Macaca mulatta: one gene and its partner. The protein of the gene in region 2 purifies or fractionates together with the protein of the main gene of each other region. This does not show direct contact. Links are inferred from orthologs where the notes say so. Each region holds a gene or a part of one and is shown on either strand. Other genes may lie near its edges. The genes, in order: DDX6 and LSM14A.

The links.
Region 1: the proteins of LSM14A (region 2) and DDX6 purify together in Homo sapiens (affinity purification with mass spectrometry; 4 studies listed by BioGRID and IntAct, with this or other methods). This does not show direct contact. The link is inferred for Macaca mulatta from reciprocal best matches to the Homo sapiens genes LSM14A and DDX6.

What each region holds. Positions count from the first base shown.
Region 1 is NC_133419.1:119,445,754-119,449,570, reverse strand, and holds part of DDX6 (putative ATP-dependent RNA helicase DDX6), read left to right. Parts: intron 1-149; coding exon 150-279; intron 280-3,593; coding exon 3,594-3,740; intron 3,741-3,817.
Region 2 is NC_133424.1:45,540,477-45,544,293, reverse strand, and holds part of LSM14A (protein LSM14 homolog A), read right to left. Parts: intron 1,368-3,817; coding exon 1,191-1,367; intron 896-1,190; coding exon 830-895; intron 1-829. UniProt on the Homo sapiens protein: Essential for formation of P-bodies, cytoplasmic structures that provide storage sites for translationally inactive mRNAs and protect them from degradation. Acts as a repressor of mRNA translation. May play a role in mitotic spindle assembly.

The DNA of each region.
Region 1 (3,817 bases), on a different chromosome or scaffold from region 2:
ATTTACTTGGATCTCTGCTATTCATGTAGAATTCAAATGTAGGATACTTAAAACAATACCGAAAAGAGGTATCCTTCAGTGTATTTCAGAGAGGAATTTGCTTGTGTACTAAATTCACAAGTAATTTTGTATTGTCTTATCTCTTTTAGGAGGAGAGCATTCCCATTGCTTTATCTGGTAGGGATATCTTAGCTAGAGCAAAAAATGGAACAGGCAAGAGCGGTGCCTACCTCATTCCCTTACTTGAACGGCTAGACCTGAAGAAGGACAATATACAAGGTTAGTTGAACAAAAGTTTGTTTTTAAACTAAAAATGGGAGTTTCAGCCTTGGAGCTATGTGTAGAAGATACTACGCCTTTTTTTTTTGTCAGAATTTACATTATCTAAAATCTGTATTCTTTCTTTTCAGATTTTTTTTTAGCCTGATGATGGTCTTTTAAAAATGATTCCCAGCTTTTTAGAGATTTCTAGTTTTAAGAGTGTTTTTATATGATACACAGTTTTGACAGCATTCCAGTGAGACAGGAAAAATAAGTATTAGTGCCCTATAGGTAGGAAAGCTGAGGCTGGGCACAGGGCCTCACAGCCTGTAATCCCAGCACTTTGGGAGGTCAAAGTGGGTGGGTCACCTGAGGCCAGATACTTAAGACCAGCTTAGCCAACATTGCAAAACGCTGTCTCTACTAAAAATACAAAAATTAGCTGGATGTGGTGGCACACACCTGTAATTCCAGCTACTCGGAAGTCTGAGTCACGAGAGTCACTTGAACCCAGGAGGTGGAGGTTGCAGTGAGCCAAGATTGTGCCACTGTACTCCAGCCTGGGTGACAGAGTGAGACTCTTAACTCAAAAAAGAAAAGACAGCTGAGAATCCTGAGAGGTTAAATTAGTTGACATTGCTACTTATAAACTATGGAACTATTTCTTGTGGCAGATGAGTGTTAGCAGAATTCCTTGTAGAAACATGAACTTCTGGCCGGGCGCGGTGGCTCAAGCCTGTAATCCCAGCACTTTGGGAGGCCGAGACGGGCGGATCACGAGGTCAGAAGATCGAGACCATCCTGGCTAACACGGTGAAACCCCGTCTCTACTAAAAAAATACAAAAAACTAGCCGGGCGAGGTGGTGGGCGCCTGTAGTCCCAGCTACTCGGGAGGCTGAGGCAGGAGAATGGCGTGAACCCGGGAGGCGGAGCTTGCAGTGAGCTGAGATCCGGCCACTGCACTCCAGTCTGGGCGACAGAGCGAGACTCCGTTTCAAAAAAAAAAAAAAAAAAAAAAGAAACATGAACTTCTGTTTAAAGTCTATGGGTTCTGAGATTTTAAGAGCCTCGGCAGTGGGAATAAACAATTTTCATAGTTATATTCAGTGTAAGTTAATGGAATTAAGATTTCACCTCTGAAACTTTACATTTTTAGCTTTCTTAATCTGTAATTACCGTTTCTTCCCACTTTTCTTTTTTTTTTTTTTTTTTTTTTTTTGAGACGGAGTCTCGTTCTGTCACCCAGGCTGGAGTGCAGTGGCCGGATCTCAGCTCACTGCAAGCTCCGCCTCCCGGGTTCACGCCATTCTCCGGCCTCAGTCTCCCGAGTAGCTGGGACTACAGGCGCCCGCCACCTCGCCCGGCTAGTTTTTTTTGTATTTCTTAATAGAGACGGGGTTTCACCGTGTTAGCCAGGATGGTCTCGATCTCCTGACCTCGTGATCCGCCCGTCTCAGCCTCCCAAAGTGCTGGGATTACAGGCTTGAGCCACCGTGCCCGGCCCCCACTTTTCATATGATATAAATAGAACCTAGAGAGCAGGAGTTTCCTACTTAGGTATTTTACACTGGTGAATCTGACTCAAATGTAGTTGGGGCTCTTAGAAATATTAAGTTAATAAACTTTGAGCTAATAGTTGCCAACTCAACATGCTAAAAGTTTGTAATTAAGAAAGGGTATTGGCTGGGTGTGGTGCCTCATGCCTGTAATCCCAGCACTTCTGGAGGCTGAGGTGGGCAGGTCACCTGAGGTCAGGAGTTTAAGACCAGCCTGGCTAACGTGGTGAAACCCTATCTCTACTAAAAACACAAAAATTAGCTGGGTGTGGTGGCAAGTGCCTGTAGTCCCAGCTACTCAGGAGGCTGAGGCAGGAGAATTGCTTGAACCTCGGAGGTGGAGGTTGCAGTGAGCCAAGATCATGCTACTGCATTCCAGCCTGGGCAACAGAGCGAGACTCTGTCTCAAAACAAAAAAAGAAGCAGCAGCAGCAGAAGGCCGGGTGCAATGACTCACACCTGTAATCCCAGCACTTGGGGAGGCCGAGGCAGGAGAATCGCTTGAGGTGAGGAGTTTGAGACCAGCAGGGCCAACATGGTAAAACCCTGTCTCCACTAAAAATACAAAAAATTAGCTGGGTGTGGTGGCGGACGCCTGTAATCAATCCCAGTTACTCAGGAGGCTTAGGCAGGAGAATCGCTTGAACCTGGGAGGCGGAGGTTGCAGTGAGCTGAGATGGCGCCACTGCACTCCAGCCTGGACAATAGAACAAGACTCCATCTCAAAAGAAAAAGAAGAGTGTAATATTTATGTGATAGTATTGCTGAGGGAAAGTCTAAATCTGGGACACTATAATAAGTTCTCTTTTTGTAAAGAGATTTGTCCATTTGAGTTTTCATAATGTCCTGTGAGTCTTGTGATGATTCAACTTTTAGTTTTTTTGATTTTTTTAGTAGAGATGGGGTCTTGTTACGTTGCCCAGGCTGGTCTCAAACTCCTGAGCTCAAATGATCCTCCCGTCTCAGCCTCCAAAACTGCTGGGATTCCAGGTGTGAGTTACTCACTGTGCTACCCAGCCCAATTTTTTAATACATCTCGGTGTCTAGATTATAAGGGCAGTGTTTCCTTTTCTTTTCTTTTCTTTTTTTCTTTTTTTTTTTTTTTTTTTTTGAGTTTTGCTCTTGTTGCCCAGACTGGAGTGCAATGGTGCGATCTCGGCTCACTGCAACCTCTGCCTCCTGGGTTCACGATTCTCCTGCCTCATCTCCCTAGTAGCTGGGATTACAGGCATGTGCCATCACGCCTGGCTGATTTTGTAGTTTTAGTGGAGATAGGGTCAGGCTGTTCTCAAACTCCAGACCTCAGGTGATCCACCCACCTTGGGTGGATCCCAGCACTCCCAAAGTGCTGGCATTATAGGTGTGAGCCACCGCATCTGGCCGCCTTTTTTTTTTTTTGAAGCTGAGTCTCATTCTGTCGCCCAGGCTGGAGTGCAGTGGCGCGATCTTTGCTCACTGCAACCTCCGCCTCCAGGGTTCAAGTGATTCTCCTGCTTCAGCCTCCTGAGTAGGTGGTATTACAGCTGCGTGCCACCAAGCCTGGATAATTTTTGTATTTTTAGTAGAGGTGGGGTTTCACCGTGTTGGTCAGGCTGCTCTCAAACTCCTCGTGATCTGTCCACCTTGGCCTCCCAGAGTGCTGGGATTACAGGCTTGAGCCACTGCATCATAAGGGGCAGTATTTCTGTAGCTTCTTGAATTTTGTAAATATAATGTATAGTATGTTTTCCCACCTCACCCCATATTTTCTCATATGTTCCTTGATGTTGTTTCAGCAATGGTGATTGTTCCCACTAGAGAACTTGCTCTACAGGTCAGTCAAATTTGCATCCAGGTCAGCAAACACATGGGAGGGGCCAAAGTGATGGCAACCACAGGAGGAACCAATTTACGAGATGACATAATGAGGCTTGATGATACAGGTAAGAAATGATTACTAAAAGGTAGTGTAGCTCTCTGTAATTTTAGTCTCAAGTGTTTCAGTAAATTATTAAAAATT
Region 2 (3,817 bases):
AGGAAATACTCAAGAACATATTAAAAGATAACTGCCTGGCTGGGTGTGGTGGCTCCCGTCTGTAATCCCAGCACTTTGGGAGGCTGAGGTGGGTACATCACCTGAGGTCAGGAGTTTGAGACCAGCCTGGCCAACATGGCAAAGCCCTGTCTCTACTAAAAATACAGAAATTAGCTGGGTGTGGTGGCACGATCCCAGCTACTCGGGAGGCTGAGGCAGGAGAATTACTTGAACCTGGGAGGCAGAGGCTGCAGTGAGCCGAGATCACACCACTGCACTACAGCCTGGGCGACAAGAGTGAAACTCCGTCTCAGACAAAAAAAAAAAAAAAAAGGCCTATCACTAAGTAGAATTTTTTTTCCAGAAAGGTAAAATTTTAAAAAATCTTTATTTTCAAGTAATTATAGAAAAGAAAAATTGAAAAACTAGTTCAGAGTGGCCCTTTGTGCCCATCACCCAACTTCCCAAACTCCAACAGTCACACCTTATATAATTATGGTACATTATCAAAACCAAGAAACTGACACAGGCACAATCTAATTAACTAAACTATAGACCTTGCTCAGATGTCACCAGTTTGTACATGTACTCATTTTCTGATATGTCTTTATGCATAGTTCTATGATGTTCTACCATATATAGATTTGCATAACCACCATCACAATCAAGATAAAGAACTGTTCTGTCACCACAGTGACACTCCCCTGTGCTCCTCCTTTAGAGTCACAACCCCCACCTTTCTTTTTTTTATAGTAATTATGTATCATACATTTAAAATATTCTCCCTGTTGAGAAGCATAGGATATGACTTTCGGATCCAAGAACTTACCTACTTGTCTCTTGTTATCATTTCTGAGTTGCTCATTTTCTGGCCTTGAAACTTTGTGTACTTCAGCTATAGAAGAAGACGTGCAAAGTGTCAAATCAACTCAGGGCACATCATCAAAAACTTCCGTAGTCAGAATTACATACAAACAAACCAAAAATCCCAAAACAAAGCCTGTGCAATGCCCAAAAAACAATACCCACACCACCAACACTTTGAGTCAAATTTGAAAGACCGAACATTCTATCACGTTCAGTTTAATTTTCTGGGATCATTCATATGATGTAAATCCTTCTAATGAAAATAAAGTGAGCGGAAAACATTGATCAGTCAATTAAGGAACAGTAAACAGCTAAAGTTCTACCTCGCCTGTGCTCCTGATTCTCTATTGCTTTTTGGCTGGTAGATGGCAAAGGCCTGGTTGATACAGGACTCCTTCTCCCAACAGGTGCTGGAGCAGGTAAGTGGGCCGAGGCGGTCTGCACTGCTTGTTCCATGGTTGGGCTTTTTCTCAAAGGGTCTAACTGAGGGCTTGAACGACCTAAAACGTAACCAAAAGATAAGAAACTACCCTATTGGGGATTTCAAAAATAATCTAGACCCTAAATAAAATTGTCCAGTTTTATTTCTACCAATTCAAATCCTTAGCATAAATTTGAATTAATCCACTTATCAGACCAGATATTAAGAATGGTTATCCTTAGTGGGCTTGTCATTAGGTTAAAAATAAAAAATAATAATAATTAAAAAAAAAACCTTCAACAGCTTCAAAACCCCCTCCCCCTCACAATTTTATCTGTTATTTCTACTTAGTGGAAGTTTACCTTTAAAAAAAATTGCGGCCTGGTACGAGATTCCCTAGAATTATCAAAGGCTATATTGTAGTCAGGTCAAACACAGGCTTTCCCCAATAACAACCATAAGACTATGGTAACTTGTTTTAATTTTTCTTAGTACTTTCTGTAGATGACTAAAACAATACCTTTACATCTATCTACAGGTACTATCTCCATTAAATTTCTATTATAAGAAAGTAAAGGGCCAGAAGCAGTGGCACATGCCTGTAATCCTAGTACTTTGGGAAGCTAAAGCAGGAGGATCGCTTGAGCCCTGGATTTCAAGACCAGTCTAGGTAACATGGTGAAACCCTGTCTCTACTGAAAATACAAAAATCAGCCAGGCATGGTGGCGTGTGCCTGTGTTCCCAGCTACTCAGGAGGCTGAGATGGGATAGCTTGAACCCGGGAGGCAGAGGCTGCAGTGAGCCAAGATCGTGCCATTGCACTCCAGCGTAGGTGACAGAGTGAGGCCCTGTCTCAAAAATAAATAAATAAATAAATAAAAAGTAAAGAACTAGAAAGTTAGACAGGTGAAGTTCTTTAATGCTTTAGGGGCTTGGGTAACTAAACAAAAACTAAAACGCCAGCAAAACAAAAACAAAAACAAAAAAAAACAAAAAACAAAACTCTTCAGATAATTACACAGTAGCCATACTCATTCCTTGCCTTTTAAAAGATCACTTGGCAAGTTTTTGCTTAATATGGGGTTTGGCTGGGCGCGGTTGCTCACACCTATAATCCCAGCAATTTGGGAGGCTGAGGTGGGCAGATCACTTGAGCTCAGGAGTTCGAGATCAGCCTGGACAACACGGCGAAAGCCTGTGTCTACAACAAATACAAAAATTAGCCAGGCGTGTTGGCACATGCCTGTAACCCCAGCTACTCAGGAGGCTGAAGTGGGTGGATCACTTGAGCCAGGGAGGCACTGGTTGTAGTGAGCCGAGATTGGTCCACTGCATCCAGTCTGGGTGACAAAGCTAGACCCTGTCTCAAAAAATACAAAAATAAAAGAGCCAAAACAAAAAACGGGACTTGTACTTACAAATTATATTTTTCCTTTTATGAGGCCAGAGCCTGGTCACAGCATGAACTGAAGAATGTAACATCGGGTGCTCCCATCATGCTTTCTGTCCTGATAATGTTTGCTGTAAATCTCTGCTCAGGCACTCACATCTCATACTTATTCCAAAATATAATATTTTGCTTAAAAAAATAATGCCCATTTCATGCAAAAAACCCCCCAAATATGCTGCAAATGTTACTGTCCATCTGTGCATATTTGCAGGCGTCAAACAACTAGTGAATGCTGACAATGCATTATTATGTACCCAGATGATTCAGGGATATTTTATTAGTAATATTTCCCCAATTTATGATTATCTAAAGTATGCAATTCCAAATGTGCAATAGTATTTTAGCTATTAATGGCAAAGTTAGCCAAATAAATGATCATTTATCAAAACGAAGAAACCAACACAGGCACAATCTAACACTTCAAAATTAAGTTACCACTAATAGAAGCATTGTAATTTTTCCATTGGATTATAATGGGAAATCATGGTTTATATAAGTTTTGGTCTAAGGAAACACATTTTATAATCACTTATAAAACACATTTTGTTTTGTTTTCGTTTTTTAGAGACAGGGTAGTGTCTTGCTCTGTCGCTCCAGCTAGAGTGTAGTGGCGCAATCACAGCTCGCTGCAACTTCTAACTCCTGGGCCCCAGTGATCTTCCTGCCTCAGCCTCTTAGGACTATAGGCATGCGCTACCAAACCTTGCTAATTTTTTTATTTCACGGGTCTTCTTGAAAAAGCCTACTGCTACAGTTAATTTTATGGTACTACATTAAATCATCTTATAAGTTTATAAAACTACTTTATCAAGGCTTTTGAGAAGAGATCCTACAGCTCACAAGCACTACAGAAGTATAAGCAATGGGGCAATCACAGCAAGTACAGAAACATTTGTTGTGTACTTAAAAAGCCTTTTTACTATTAAGGCCTAATAATCATCATGATGCCAGTTTTGTTATAAACAGGGAAATACAGGTGATACTGTGATACTGGACACATTATTAGGAATAAATCCAGAAGTGATTTCTGCATAATAAAGGCCCACTCCCTTCAGCTATCTTCACAATCTTATTATAC